Saccharomyces cerevisiae S288C: one gene and its partners. Changing the gene in region 2 together with the main gene of any one other region gives a genetic interaction. Each region holds a gene or a part of one and is shown on either strand. Other genes may lie near its edges. The genes, in order: SLX5, ASF1, MSI1 and NUP60.

What was found.
Region 1: mutations in ASF1 (region 2) and SLX5 together harm fitness more than expected from each alone (negative genetic interaction), as found in Saccharomyces cerevisiae (5 studies listed by BioGRID, with this or other methods).
Region 3: of ASF1 (region 2) and MSI1, changing one enhances a phenotype caused by changing the other (phenotypic enhancement), as found in Saccharomyces cerevisiae (5 studies listed by BioGRID, with this or other methods).
Region 4: mutations in ASF1 (region 2) and NUP60 together harm fitness more than expected from each alone (negative genetic interaction), as found in Saccharomyces cerevisiae (5 studies listed by BioGRID, with this or other methods).

What each region holds. Positions count from the first base shown.
Region 1 is NC_001136.10:427,153-431,510, forward strand, and holds SLX5 (SUMO-targeted ubiquitin ligase complex subunit SLX5), read left to right. Parts: upstream 1-1,914; coding exon 1,915-3,774; downstream 3,775-4,358. Other genes in the region: rRNA methyltransferase NOP1, read left to right, coding at 212-1,195; YDL012C (uncharacterized protein), read right to left, coding at 3,956-4,234, 4,321-4,358. UniProt on the Saccharomyces cerevisiae protein: Component of the SUMO-targeted ubiquitin ligase (STUbL) complex SLX5/SLX8 that mediates ubiquitination and subsequent desumoylation of sumoylated proteins and proteins containing SUMO-like domains for their degradation.
Region 2 is NC_001142.9:194,599-197,702, reverse strand, and holds ASF1 (nucleosome assembly factor ASF1), read right to left. Parts: upstream 1,417-3,104; coding exon 577-1,416; downstream 1-576. Other genes in the region: SUN family protein NCA3, read left to right, coding at 2,830-3,104. UniProt on the Saccharomyces cerevisiae protein: Histone chaperone that facilitates histone deposition and histone exchange and removal during nucleosome assembly and disassembly. Facilitates histone deposition through both replication-dependent and replication-independent chromatin assembly pathways.
Region 3 is NC_001134.8:609,978-613,618, forward strand, and holds MSI1 (Msi1p), read right to left. Parts: upstream 1,906-3,641; coding exon 637-1,905; downstream 1-636. Other genes in the region: AIM4 (Aim4p), read left to right, coding at 61-432; PGI1 (glucose-6-phosphate isomerase), read right to left, coding at 2,259-3,641. UniProt on the Saccharomyces cerevisiae protein: Acts as a component of the histone chaperone complex chromatin assembly factor 1 (CAF-1), which assembles histone octamers onto DNA during replication and repair.
Region 4 is NC_001133.9:150,475-154,631, reverse strand, and holds NUP60 (FG-nucleoporin NUP60), read right to left. Parts: upstream 2,376-4,157; coding exon 756-2,375; downstream 1-755. Other genes in the region: ERP1 (Erp1p), read left to right, coding at 1-567; transcription factor TFIIIC subunit TFC3, read left to right, coding at 3,466-3,535, 3,626-4,157. UniProt on the Saccharomyces cerevisiae protein: Functions as a component of the nuclear pore complex (NPC).

The DNA of each region.
Region 1 (4,358 bases), on a different chromosome or scaffold from region 2:
TGGAAAGCTCATCTCTCTTGAATGTATAATACTTTCTTCCTCTAACTTTCAAAAAGTTTTACATAGCCAAGAAGTTTTCCTTACATCGGTATACTACTGTTATATAAGTTATTCTTCGAGAAACAATTAGATATCATTCATCGGATAAATCTAAGTTGCCCATTGCTTTCAATAACTCCGATCAAATTAACTCAAATCAACTAAAACAGTAATGTCATTCAGACCAGGTAGCAGAGGTGGTTCCCGTGGAGGTTCCAGAGGTGGCTTCGGTGGTAGAGGCGGTTCCCGTGGTGGTGCTCGCGGTGGTTCCAGAGGTGGCTTCGGTGGTAGAGGCGGTTCTCGTGGTGGTGCCCGTGGTGGTTCCAGAGGCGGCTTCGGTGGTAGAGGCGGTTCTCGTGGTGGTGCCCGTGGTGGCTCCAGAGGTGGTAGAGGTGGCGCTGCTGGTGGTGCCCGTGGTGGTGCCAAGGTCGTTATTGAACCACATAGACATGCCGGTGTTTACATTGCTAGAGGTAAAGAAGATTTGCTAGTTACCAAGAACATGGCCCCAGGTGAATCAGTTTATGGTGAAAAGAGAATCTCCGTTGAAGAACCATCTAAGGAAGATGGTGTCCCACCAACCAAGGTCGAATACCGTGTATGGAACCCATTCAGATCTAAGTTGGCTGCCGGTATTATGGGTGGTCTAGATGAATTATTTATTGCCCCAGGCAAGAAAGTTTTATATTTAGGTGCTGCTTCCGGTACTTCTGTTTCTCACGTTTCAGATGTTGTTGGTCCAGAAGGTGTTGTCTACGCCGTAGAATTTTCTCACAGACCAGGCAGAGAATTGATTTCTATGGCAAAGAAGAGACCTAATATCATCCCAATCATTGAAGATGCTAGACACCCACAAAAATACAGAATGTTGATTGGTATGGTTGACTGTGTCTTCGCAGATGTTGCCCAGCCTGATCAAGCTCGTATTATTGCATTGAACTCTCATATGTTCTTGAAGGACCAAGGTGGTGTTGTTATCTCCATTAAGGCTAACTGTATTGATTCTACTGTAGACGCGGAAACCGTTTTTGCTAGAGAAGTTCAAAAGTTACGTGAGGAACGTATTAAGCCATTAGAACAATTGACTTTAGAGCCATATGAAAGAGACCATTGTATCGTCGTTGGTAGATACATGAGAAGCGGTTTGAAGAAATAAGTTGAATAAAGGAAATTAGTCAAAAGTTTCTGGTAGCTTGCTCAATTATTAGCAGAATAATTGTTTCGTTTATATATATTTCCCCCATTCAGTTTCACTTCCTATTTGAAGTTTTTGTAACCCTCGACTTTGTAAAATAGATATTACTAAATTCTTTTAGAGAACAAAAGTATTGTACGTATTCGCCATATAAAAAAAAAAGAGTATATGTGGTGACTTTTTGGTCATTAATTGTTAAGAGCAAGCAAGTAGAAATCATAATCATATTTCGAGTTTTTTAAAGGTAGGAACAATATCGATAAGCTGTTCTCCAGTCTCGACACTGTTTGATGACCATATATCATTAATTCTTGTAACACTACATCATAGATTTCTCTTTATCCTTGGATTGAATCTGAAAAAATTTTGATAGAGTCTTTTGTTCAAAGTGTCACTTCTTCATCTGTCACTCTTACGTATTTTTTTTTTTTTGGCTTTGCCCATAAGAAACATCACTGTATACGCAAGGTCGCAATATTTACTATTTAACATGGATGAGAGGCAGTGTGCGACCAAAACGAAGACTTAATCATTAAGAAGAGCGTGTGTTGCGTTGATTGGTAATAACCAAGTCGAAATTTGCACTAGGAGCTTCAGTCTAGGAGTGAACTTTTGAAAAGATTTCAGTCCAAAAATTATTATTTGGAACGCGGAGCTCCTCTAATAGTCGAAATAATAGAATGCATAGCGATACTAACGGTCGAACAAAGAGCAATAATAGCCCATCAGACAATAATCCAAATGAGACAGTTATATTAATAGATAGTGATAAGGAAGAAGACGCTTCTATTCGCGAGGCTAACCTTCCTGTGAGGTTGTACCCAGACAGACGGGTAGGGAGACGACGTGATGCTTTAAATAGGTTTGTGAGGTCAGATTCAAGGAGCAGGAATTCTCAACGGACTCACATAACAGCAAGCTCTGAGCGCCCTGATTTTCAAGCTAATAACGACGATATCACTATAATACGAGAAGTTGGACGGTTTTTTGGAGACGATGGACCTATTGATCCTTCTGCACATTACGTCGATCTTGATCAGGAGCCAGGTTCTGAAACGTTAGAAACTCCAAGAACAATACAAGTAGATAACACAAACGGGTACTTGAATGATAATGGTAATAACAATGAAAGTGATGATGGCCTGACAATAGTTGAAGAGAGAACAACACGACCCAGAGTGACACTGAACCTGCCAGGCGGGGAGAGGCTTGAGGTAACTGCGACGACAACAGACATACCGATAAGAAGGTCATTTGAATTCCAAGAAGATCTAGGCGCATCACGCAGGCAGTTACTGAGAAGGAGTGCTACAAGAGCCCGTAATTTATTTGTGGACCGGTCTGATGAAAACGATGAAGATTGGACAGATGATACCCATAATTTACCAGAAGCTATTCAAAGGGCTCGTAGGGAGAGCCGTATGCGAATGAGCAGACGGATTGCAGAAAGACAACGTAGGGTACAACAGCAAAGGGTGTCCAGTGACGAAAATATAAGTACATCTATTAGGTTACAATCAATCAGGGAACGAATACAATCATATACGCCTGATATTCGTAGTGCTTTTCATCGTGCAGAGTCACTGCATGAATTCAGGTCTATTTTACAAAATGTTGCTCCAATTACTTTGCAAGAATGTGAAGAAGAACTAATGGCACTCTTCACTGAGTTCAGAAATCAACTGCTGCAGAATTGGGCCATTGATAGGGTCAGAAATACTCAGGAAGAGGCCTTGAGACTTCACCGAGAAGCATTGGAAAGACAAGAAAGAACGGCAGGAAGAGTTTTCCATCGTGGCACATTACGTGAATCAATCACAAACTATCTTAATTTCAATGGAGAGGATGGGTTCTTAAGTCGTTTGTGGAGTGGCCCAGCATTGAGCGATGCTGACGAGGAACGACACACTCAAAATATCATTGATATGATCCAAGAGAGAGAAGAACGAGAGCGGGATGTGGTCATGAAGAATCTAATGAACAAAACCAGAGCCCAACAGGAAGAATTCGAAGCTAGGGCAGCCAGCCTACCCGAAGGTTATAGCGCGTCATTTGATACTACGCCAAAAATGAAATTAGACATTACGAAAAATGGTAAAGAAGAAACCATCATTGTGACAGATGACGATTTAGCAAAAACACTCGAGGATATTCCTGTTTGTTGCTTGTGTGGCGCAGAATTGGGGGTCGGAATACCGGATGATTTTACTGGAATCAGTCAAAAGGATCGTGGTGTTTCATTTGAAGGGTTAGTGTCAAAATACAAATTCCACTGCCCCTACCAAACCCTAGCCAGACCATCAATGCTTGATAGAGATTTATCAAAACGAACGTTTATTGCATCGTGTGGTCATGCATTTTGTGGTAGGTGTTTCGCCAGGATTGACAATGCAAAAAAAAAATCTAAGATGCCCAAAAAGAAACTAGCTCAACTAAAGGGTTCGGCTCATCCGGATAATTATGGCCCCAAATTATGTCCCGCAGATTCTTGTAAGAAGCTTATTCGTTCAAGAGGCAGGTTGAAGGAGGTTTACTTCTAGCACGCGGTTTAATTTTTATAAGGGCATTTTCGAACTTATCATCATTATATATTATCTACTTGCATGAACACTTTAATCACGCTTATTTAATTAAGATTAAAAGATCAGAGGTGCAATTGTGCTTTGTTTTATATAGTGGATTTGTGTGAAAGGGTTTGCTCCCACAAGATATGGAGATACTCTAAAACAGCATATCCAAAGTACAGCATAAACATAAACCCGCTAGACAGCCCGCTAGACAGTCTTCATTTCCAGAACTGGCCGGTTGTTGTTGGACATAAATGGGCTGCTGTGGGTGTTGTTGGTAATATTGGGGCTGCTGTTGCTGATAGTATTGAGGTTGTTGCTGATACTGCTGCTGCTGCTGTTGAGGTGGATAATAGTTCTGTTGGCTTTGCGATGGAGCGTAACCTCTAGACGCCGTTTCATATCCTGGTGGTGGAGCGCTAGGACGAGAATACTGAATCGAAAGTGATGTAATGAAAATACAAGGGCTCGTTAGTACGATGTGATCTTCTAAAGGCAAAACTTGTAAAATTAACGTACGCTTTGTTTGGAGGCAGAGTTTCCGTAATAATCTTGAG
Region 2 (3,104 bases):
ACACAGCTTCAGTATTGTCTGAGCTTCTCGTTTAACATTCCTTCTGCAATAGGCGCAATCACACTTAAACGTATACGAGTTGTACATTAATATACGATGTAAGCATTAGATTGTTACCATAGCAACTCATGTCACTATTAATTACTCTCGTTCCAACATGATAATATAACTATTAGTTGATAGACGATAGTGGATTTTTATTCCAACATGTTCGTTCTGTTATGAAGTTGTTTCATATGTGTTTTATGAACTTTTAGGATGACGTATTGTCATACTGACGTATCTCACTTTGATAAACAACAATATCAATAATATTAGGGCGTGTGGCGTAGTCGGTAGCGCGCTCCCTTAGCATGGGAGAGGTCTCCGGTTCGATTCCGGACTCGTCCAATTTCTTTTTGTTCTCAACGACAATAATAAGAAAATCAACTTAAATGGAAAATATTACTGCCTTTTATTTTTTACGTAGCTGTTGCCCTAACCCGACTTTATCTTATGTCTGTTATTTTTTTATTTATACATTTTATAAAGTGTACCTCTCTTGCAGGTACCATTAATCTTATAACCCATAAATTCTTAATTCGTTGAACGTGCCGCATCCTTTGGAGTGGATTCAATATCCGTGGACCCCCCTTCTATTTTCCTCCTCTTCTTATCATTACCATCTTCATTCTTGTCTACAGACCCCACCTCTTCTTCTCCTTCTTCCTCATCGCCGTCACTATTTTCTATGTCTTCCTCCTCTTCTTCAAGATTCGTTTCGTTGTCTTCAGTCTTCTCTTCCTCCTCTTCTTCCTCCTCTGCCGCTTCTTCCGCCTCTCCCTCTCCATCTTCTTGATCGTCATCTTCGTCGTCTTCATCATCTTCATCGTCATCTTCTTCTTCATCGTCCTCCTCCTCTTCATCATCTACGCCGGGCTGTTCAGGTGGGTATAAATCCCCTTCATTTTCATTATCCCAAACAATGTTAAACCTTGTTACCCTTGGCTTTTCAGCCAGTATATTTCTTACAATATGATCTACTTGTACCTTTGCTGGCGGATTTTCTCTTAACTCTTCTTCATCGTACTCATTATTCACGTAGTAACCGACCCTAACAAACTCTCTCCCGTCATAAGAACAACTTAATAGAATAACAGTCACACTAACCAATTCACTCGCAGGAATCAGCTCGGCGGAGGGAGGGTCAGCAGAAAACACAAATTTATTAACACCTACGGGAACGGGGCCTACCAGAATGGAATCCAATTCCTGGTCATGGTCTAGAGAACGAGAGGACCCAACATAGGTTAGTTTCCACTCTAAGTCATGTTTTAAAGATTCTAAGCATTCAAAAGTGATTTCAAACTCATATGGATCAGTGAACTTTGCCGGGTTGTTTAAGACTTTGATGCCTAACAGTGAAACAATTGACATCTTTTCTATATCTTATGTTTCAATTGGATGGTAGGGAGAGTACGCTGTTACACTTTCGAGATTCTGTGAGCCTCTTACCTGTTTGGAGTTATTCCAAGTGTTAGTATTAAAATTGCAAGATTCATTTTTCCATCGTCGGTTGTACGCCCATTACATGAAAAAGGGAACAGATTTACGCGTTTAGGATGAGAAAAAAAAAAAAAGGAAAAAACGCGTAAATGAAAAGTTCTTTGTAGAACAGCTCTCTCTTAAACACATAGTAACAGCAAAAGACGCCACCAAGACAATATCCTGAAAATCGAAATTCTCGCCAAGGCATTACCATCCCATGTAAGAACGGAATAAAACAGCATTCGAAGGTTAGGTGTGGCACAAAGCCGATAAGAAAAAGAAAAGTAGTGAGGACAGGCTTAATTGAGCTAATTAAGGCGAAAAAAGGAAAAGAACTCGATAGAAAAACTTATTCATGAAGGAGACGTAAAGTCAGGCAAGGCTGCGGCATCATGTCTACTTGTCATAACTCAATTTGCCTATTTCTTACGGCTTCTCATAAAACGTCCCACACTATTCAGGGGAAGGCTACACGGAAACCCCAATAAAGGAAACGAAGAAGTGACCTTAGCCTTCGTCATCCGCGCCCACTACTCTCTTCCTAGTCGCCCGGTTGTTGAAAGTTTAATTGTGGGTTTTCTTTCACGACACACCTCACTGAAAAAAGAAACGAGCGGAGGAATAGTATGATAAATCTTCAGCATAGATGGGTAACGGGATCCCTCTGTGAGGGCCGATTATGCAGGCCTAGACCCGCACGTGACCACTTCGAGAGCAAGTTGCCTGCGAGTTTCTCTGCCCGAGGAAAAAGAAATGGAGGCAATTTACTTAATATGGTATGAGAGGATCTTTTGACGGCAAATAGATGCGCCATCTCCGAGAAAAAATCTAGACAATAACAGCGACAATTAACCTAAAGAGGATAGAAGATCGAGCAAAAAAATTTTTTTAATATGGGGTCAGTGGCGATATTATACTATAGGAGTTAAAGAGTAAGTTGAGTGTAAGGTGGTAGAATTATGATTGAACTCCGAAACTAAGCGCCGATTATGGGTGGCAAAGCGGACAGCTTTTGATATATAATCGATCGCTCTCGTAGTTGATATCCTCTCTCTTGCTTATCTTTTCCTGTATATAGTATATGTGTACATACAGATACGAATATACCTCAGTTAGTTTGTTTTAACATTAAATATTCAACAGTTGCCAGTAGCAAAAAGAATATATCCATTCATTTCGAGCTTTTTCGTCTCATTACTGATATCCAACTAACAGTCTCCTCATAGACGGTACCTTACTTTCCTTTAATATTATAATACTAGTATAGTCGCACATACTTAACTCGTCTCTCTCTAACACATAATGAAAATTTCCGCAGCTTTAATATTGTCTTCCCTTTCTTCTGTCGCATTTTCTGCCCCTGCACCTGCTCCAGCGGACAGTCACCATGAAGATCATCACAAAGATGAAAAACCAGCGGTTGTCACTGTCACTCAATACATAGATTCCAATGCCGCTACTAGTACTGTAGAATCTGCTGCTACTACCACTACATTGTCCTCATCTGAGAAGGATACCTCTGAACAGAAGCGTGATGGCGGATTCCAAGATGGTACTGTCAAATGTTCGGACTTCCC
Region 3 (3,641 bases), on a different chromosome or scaffold from region 2:
GTCATCCAATCCTTTTAGTTCTCGCATTCCATCATTTTATACTATATACGTTTGAGCTTAATGGATCAAAAGAAGGACCCAAGTAATAACTTAACAGAAAGAAGGGTTTCCAAGGTCCAACGCCCAAATAAGAAAAAGGTACGAAATCAAGTTGAATCACTTTCTAGAAACCTAGAGAGAAATAAAGAGGGACAGCTTCTGCAGACTGTATCAAAAGGTCATTTAGAAGCTGATTCTGGACACTCACTGGGTCGTGAAAAAGAGAACGGTGAACTCGGTATAAGAAGTATATTTTACGATAAAGACTGGAATCCAAGAGGCACTGCACCATCACATTACAGAAATATACCTTATAATCCTGCCACTTTCAAAAGGCGAACTGAAGTTCAAGCCAGACTGGGAAACCTCGAGAATATCAAAATACCAAAGTGAAAGTTCAAAGGTAATAAATGAGCAACCACTTTCTTCGAAATACAATATTGAAATCAGCATGAAGTCTGAGCGTAGTGTTTATTGTAGCAAGTCTTGAGCATATTTTATAAACTCTATTTATGTTTGTATATTCGTCTATCAAATGGTTGAATATGTAATAGGGACAGGAGCCATTAGCATGCCTGGCTTCAAGGAACGTTTAGGTCACGAATGTCCAACAAGGTTTCCTGCAGGTTTCCATATGTGAACTGAATTATCATTTGCCACACTGCACATTAACCAAGGGTCATGAGCGTCCCACGAAATGTCGTTCACACCGAGCATATGACCACCATGGGTAAATATAGTTTCTTCGCAGGAGGTATCCCATAGCTTGACTAACCCATCTTCTTGGCCAGCCGTTGCCAATACAGTATCGAAATTTGGACTCCATTCTAAAGTTGAAACGGAAGTACCGTGCTCCATGGTAGCGATTGGGCTTTTGTTCATGTTTCTAATATCCCATAAATTTAGCCTCCCATTTGAATCTGCAGATGCTAGAATTAAAGAGTTCTTATAGTTAAATCTACAGGAGTTTACTCCACCATCGTGTTTTTCACGGTTACTCTGGAGCTTCTCTTTCTTAGTCCTCAGATCTAATAGGGAGACCGCATTTCCTTCAGTACAAGCAGCAAAGAGGGAATCGTGTGTTGGCATCCAAGTTACATCATTCACCGCTGTTCCGTCGCTGTTTATTGACACTAAGGGTAAATCTATTATAGGGTTCTCATGCGAATATTGTTTAATGTCCCAAACTTGAACTTGGCCGTTGGAGTGAGAAGAAAGTAAAAGGGCCTCCTGCTGCAAGTTCCAGGCTAAAGAAGTCGCCTCATTTATATCTGCCGAAGAAGTATCCATTGCCTCCACGTCTTGAATAACACCATGTGAACCAAACAGCTTTGTCTCAAAGGGATGTGAAATTTTGGACTGTCTTATTCTAGTAGAGCCGTGTTTTGTTCTATCGAATATGTAGATTGCACCATCTGAAGAGGCGCCGGCTATAATATCTGGATTTTGAGGCAAATATCTTGCCCTATTGCATTCCCCGTTTGGGAAGAAAATACTGATGTCATTTACTAAGTGTTTGGAGGGAAACCTTGTCGAGTTCTCCGGTTTGAATTCCATTTCGTCCATGTCGAAATTATTTAAAGATGACCATTTTATATGACCCAACGTGGATATTTTGCTAATATATATGGTCTCATCTTCAGGTTTTTGGGAAGATGTAAATGAGGATAACAAGATGCGATGCTCATCCGAAGTGGTATCTAAATCAGGAAAGAACTGGCACGTTAAGGACGGCCACTTTGTTGAATTCGTGTTTAGGTAATCATAAAGTAGTTTAGTGTTTTTCTTCCAGTGCGAGTATCTTTCTTGCAAATCGATGGGTATACTGGAGGCTTCATGAGTTATGTCCTTCGCGCACTGATTCATCTTTGAAACTAAATTTGTATATTGTTTGTCAGAAATAGGACCTGATATCCTCCTTTTAAACAGTTGATGAGAACCTTTTTCGCAAGTTCAAGGTGCTCTAATTTTTAAAATTTTTACTTTTCGCGACACAATAAAGTCTTCACGACGCTAAACTATTAGTGCACATAATGTAGTTACTTGGACGCTGTTCAATAATGTATAAAATTTATTTCCTTTGCATTACGTACATTATATAACCAAATCTTAAAAATATAGAAATATGATATGTGTATAATAATATAAGCAAAATTTACGTATCTTTGCTTATAATATAGCTTTAATGTTCTTTAGGTATATATTTAAGAGCGATTTGTTCACATCCATTCCTTGAATTGATTGATTAAACCGTTGGTAGAAGCATCGTGGGTAGAAATGGTGGAGGAGTTGTCCAATTCCTTGCCGATGACTTTAGCCAAGACTTTACCCAATTCAACACCCCATTGGTCGAAAGAGTTGATATTCCAAATGGCACCTTCAGTGAAAGTAACATGTTCGTAGTAGGCAATCAAAGCACCCAAAGTAGCTGGAGTAATCTTTTGAGCCAAGATAGAGGTAGTTGGTCTGTTACCTGAGAAGACCTTGTGTGGGACCAAACCACCAGTGGCACCTTCAGCCTTAACTTGTTCTTCATCCTTACCAACCATTAAAGCTTCAGCTTGAGCAAAGAAGTTTGAAGCCAACATCTTTTGATGTAATTTGTTCTCAATTGGGTTATGAGATTGAGCAGCTAAGATGAAATCAGATGGAATCAACTTGGTACCTTGGTGAACCAATTGGAAGAAAGAGTGTTGAGCGTTGGTAGCTGGTTCACCAAACAAGATAGAACCAGTAGAGTAGTCAGTAAACACGTTACCTCTGGTAACAGACTTACCGTTAGATTCCATTGACAATTGTTGCAAGTAGGCTGGGAATCTGTGCAAGTATTGGTCGAATGGAGCAACCAAATGGGTTTGAGCACCAAAGAAGTTGTTGTACCAGACAGACAACAAACCACCCAACAATGGAATGTTGTCTTCCAATGGGGTTTGGGTGAAGTGGTTGTCGACGGCTTCAGCACCCTTCAAGAAAGCCTCAAAGTTGTCATAGCCAATGTACAAGGCAACAGACAAACCAATAGCCGACCAGACAGAGTAACGACCACCGACCCAACTTTCGAAACCAAACATGTTTTTGGTGTCAATACCGAACTTGGCAACTTCGGTTTCGTTAGTGGACAAAGCAGCGAAATGCTTAGCAATGTGAGATGGATCATTACCTGTCTTCGACAAGAACCAGTTCTTGGCAGTGTTAGCGTTAGTGATAGTTTCAGCGGTAGTGAAAGTCTTGGAAGCAATCAAAAACAAAGTAGTTTCTGGGTCAACAACCTTCAAGGTTTCAGCAATGTGAGTACCGTCAATGTTGGAAACGAAGTGGACATCCAAGACACCAGCGTAGTGCTTCAAAGCCTCAGTGACCATGACTGGACCCAAATCGGAACCACCAATACCGATGTTAACAACATCGGTGATCTTCTTACCGGTATAACCCTTCCATTCACCAGAACGAACTTGTTCAGAGAACTCCTTCATGTGCTTCAAGACAGAGTCGACTTCTGGAGCAACGTTGACACCATCAACGTACATTGGCTTGTTAGCTCTGTTTCTCAATGCGACGTGGTAGACAGCACGATCTTCAGTGGAGTTGATGTGTTCACCTTT
Region 4 (4,157 bases), on a different chromosome or scaffold from region 2:
CGTAAGTGCTTCCACAAGGAATTGTCTAAAGGTACTTTGTTCCAAGCAACTTACAAGGCACAAATTTACGATGACCAATTACAAAATTACAGAGACGCTGGTGCGCAAGATTTTGGTGTCTTGATTGATATTGAGGAAACTTTTGATGATAACCACCTGGTTGTTCATCAGAAAGGTTCAGCAAGTGGTGATTTAACTTTCCTTGCGTCTGATTCGGGTGAACATAAAATCTGTATTCAGCCCGAAGCTGGTGGCTGGTTGATTAAGGCTAAAACGAAGATTGACGTTGAATTCCAAGTGGGCTCTGATGAAAAGTTAGATTCTAAGGGTAAAGCCACTATTGACATTCTACATGCCAAGGTTAACGTCCTAAACTCCAAGATCGGCGAAATTAGAAGAGAGCAAAAATTGATGAGAGATCGTGAAGCTACCTTTAGAGACGCCTCTGAAGCTGTTAATTCTCGTGCTATGTGGTGGATTGTCATTCAATTAATTGTTCTCGCTGTTACTTGTGGCTGGCAAATGAAACACCTGGGCAAATTTTTTGTTAAGCAAAAAATTTTATGATCAGACTAAAAACCTTTTATGTATCTTCTAGAAATTTATAGTTTATAAGAGCCGCTAAAGGTATTCCTTCTTTTTGAGAAAGTGGAAAAAAAATGACTAAATAATATCATCTTGGAATGGTATTTTACACAAACTTACGTATTGAGTTGGGCTATACGGTAATTATGTCACGGCTAAAATTTTCATTATCAAAAGGTATATAGGGACTTGAAAGCCTCAACTTTATTTTCATCAACCAAGCCATTTCCTAGCTGCTTAGACACCACGGGAACATTGAAATCAAACTCTTCCGCCTTTTCCTCTGAAAAGTCGTTATCAATTGAGGCGCTGATATGTTTACCTTCATTATCGTTTTCTTGTGAAAGATTGGACCGTGATTTCTTTTGAACACTATTAAAAACAAAGCCTTTCGATGAACTTTTTTGAGGAGTAACCGAAAGATCTGGTTGGACGGGAGTAGAATCGCCCTTTGTAAGTTCGGTTTTTGGCTTTCCAACTAACGGCTTCGCCTGTAGGTTGGTAAAATTGAATTCCTTTGATGATGCAGATGGTGCGTTCTCGCTCTTATAAGCATTCTCAGTAGGTTCAACGTTTCTTGAAGTATTAAACGAGAAGTTAAAAGCAGAGGATGGAGGTTTATCTCCACCATCCTTCTTTTCAGGTGAGGTTTCAGCTACGACGACATTTGAGCGTAAGGATGAGGACCTTGCAGGTTTGTATTTAGTAAAAGAATCTTTGCTTGGCGCAGATGGTGAAATTTTGGTGGCGTTCAGTTGTTTCATTGGTTCTTCGCCTTGTTCAGGAACGTTTTGAAATAATGGCTTAACAGTAGTTTCTTCTTCACTGATCTCTTGCCTTGGTGCAGCATTTGGAGAAACTCTCTTATGTTTGCGTATTTGGCTTACATATGAGGAGTATGGATTAGCAAGTTCTGAAGCTGCATTATTCTTCTTACTGTCATTTTCATCTAATAGTGAGACCAATGCCGCAGCTGTATTACTTATTTTCTTACTAGGAGCTGACTTTGAAACACCACTTCTTACCGATTTAGCAGATGCTATACTTTGAGCAGATGTGTTGGCTGTGTATGTATCGGGGATCTTTTTCGCTGCACTATATCTATAAACGGTTGTTTTGTATGGTGAGGGCAGGCTAGAATAATTGAAACTGTATTTTCTTGAACCAATGCTTCCCAAAGTCGTATTCATTGACGCATTTGAAGTATCATATTTTGGGTTGAAGGTCGGCGCATTAGATATGCTGATTGGTGTACTTCCTGACTCCTTCAAGATAAGCGACTGGTCGATATTATTACCTTCGGCTGATTTTTGTTCTCCTTCCGAAGTTATCATGGATTTGCTTGATTTTTGTAACAATGACATCACACCCTCTATTTCAATTTCTGATAAAGGCTCATTACCTTTTTTACTAAAAAAGTTTGCAAGCTTTGCATTGGAGATGTTAGTTTCATGTGTTTCATCATACTCCTCTTCTTTATTCTCAATGTCGTTTCTGGCTTCACCCACTGCAGAAACAACTACGGAACGGTTTACAGTAGAATCTGGGGATATCTCAGAATGGAAATAACCTCCAGGCATACTTGAGATTCTTCTGTTAAAAGACTCATTGCGTGGTTGTTTATTAGCAACATTATTCCTTGGACTCACTCTGGCTGAATCTTTTTGGGTAAAGAAAGTTTTAATTTTAGAGAAAAGGCTTGGTTTATTGTGTGCATTGCTAATAATCTGCTTTCGATAGGGAGCGGAAGGCACAGTAGCGCTAGCCCTCCTCAATGATTTACGATGCATTGGATGTCGATTTTAGGATATCTTGCGGTGCTTATTTGATGTAAAGGTCTGTTATTTGATGTTTAAAAGTACACATTACAATAAGCTTTCACTTGTAAATATATCTTTTATTTTCCGAGAGGAAAAAGTTTCAAAAAAAAAAAAAAAAAAAGAAGAAAAATAACTTTCTCATGTAATAAAAGGTAACTAATGTAGACAAAAAAGTATACATTTAGCTTTTCTTTTTTTGATGATTTTTGAGTTTCATGTTACTAATCAGAACAATTAACGACACCTTCATTATGAAAAAATTAATTAGCTATAAGTCTTCGAAGTAGAACATGATATTTGGCAATCACTCGAATAACTATCTTAATTTACCTGCTGAAATAATTTGAAAAAACACCCGAGGCAGCAGACGAAAGGTGTTTTTGCTAAACAATGATTGATTTCTGGCGCCATTTCTACATTCTGAACAGTTCATCTCATTTCAGTAACAGTACTTCAATGGAATATTTATTAAAGAAAGTGCTTAAAAAAGTATTATAAAACGATACATGGACTGACTCAAGATTGAGCTAATAAGGTCCACCGCCTAGTGCTTAAGAGTTCTGTACCACTATAATAATTTATCTTGATCGTATTATGTGTAAAAAAAAGGCGCTTGAAATGAAAGCTCCGAAAATTAAAATACTTTGACTGCTTCGGAAAACAAAAACATATAAATAAATTTAAAAAATAAACTGTAAAATATTTAAAAACTATTAAAAATATTTTATATTTTTAAAATTATTTATTATTATGTCATGTGACAAGACTTAAATCATTACATAAAAGGTTTTGAAGTTCAATGTCAAAGTCAATATAATAAGCATACTAAGGCACACTTATGCAAATCGAGTTATTGAAGCTGGTAAAATTATAAGATTTTTATTTTTATTTCTTTTATTTCTGCAAATCTGCATTTTCAAATACCGCTTGGTTTTTTGCATCATAAAGGGCGGCGCTTTCAGTCGCGAAAGTGAAATAAACAACCAGTCACACATATAACTTTCTTCTTGCCATAAGAGAGAAGAGGACGTTTGGTTGAAGCCAACTAGCCACAAGAAAAATGGTACTGACGATTTATCCTGACGAACTCGTACAAATAGTGTCTGATAAAATTGCTTCAAATAAGGGAAGTATGTTCATGTCTCATTCTCCTTTTCGGCTCCGTTTAGGTGATAAACGTACTATATTGTGAAAGATTATTTACTAACGACACATTGAAGAAATCACTTTGAATCAGCTGTGGGATATATCTGGTAAATATTTTGATTTGTCTGATAAAAAAGTTAAACAGTTCGTGCTTTCATGCGTGATATTGAAAAAGGACATTGAGGTGTATTGTGATGGTGCTATAACAACTAAAAATGTGACTGATATTATAGGCGACGCTAATCATTCATACTCGGTTGGGATTACTGAGGACAGCCTATGGACATTATTAACGGGATACACAAAAAAGGAGTCAACTATTGGAAATTCTGCATTTGAACTACTTCTCGAAGTTGCCAAATCAGGAGAAAAAGGGATCAATACTATGGATTTGGCGCAGGTAACTGGGCAAGATCCTAGAAGTGTGACTGGACGTATCAAGAAAATAAACCACCTGTTAACAAGTTCACAACTGATTTATAAGGGACACGTCGTGAAGCAATTGAAGCTAAAAAAATTCAGCCATGACGGGGTGGATAGTAATCCCTATATTAATATTAGGGATCATTTAGCAACAATAGTTGAGGTGGTAAAACGATCAAAAAA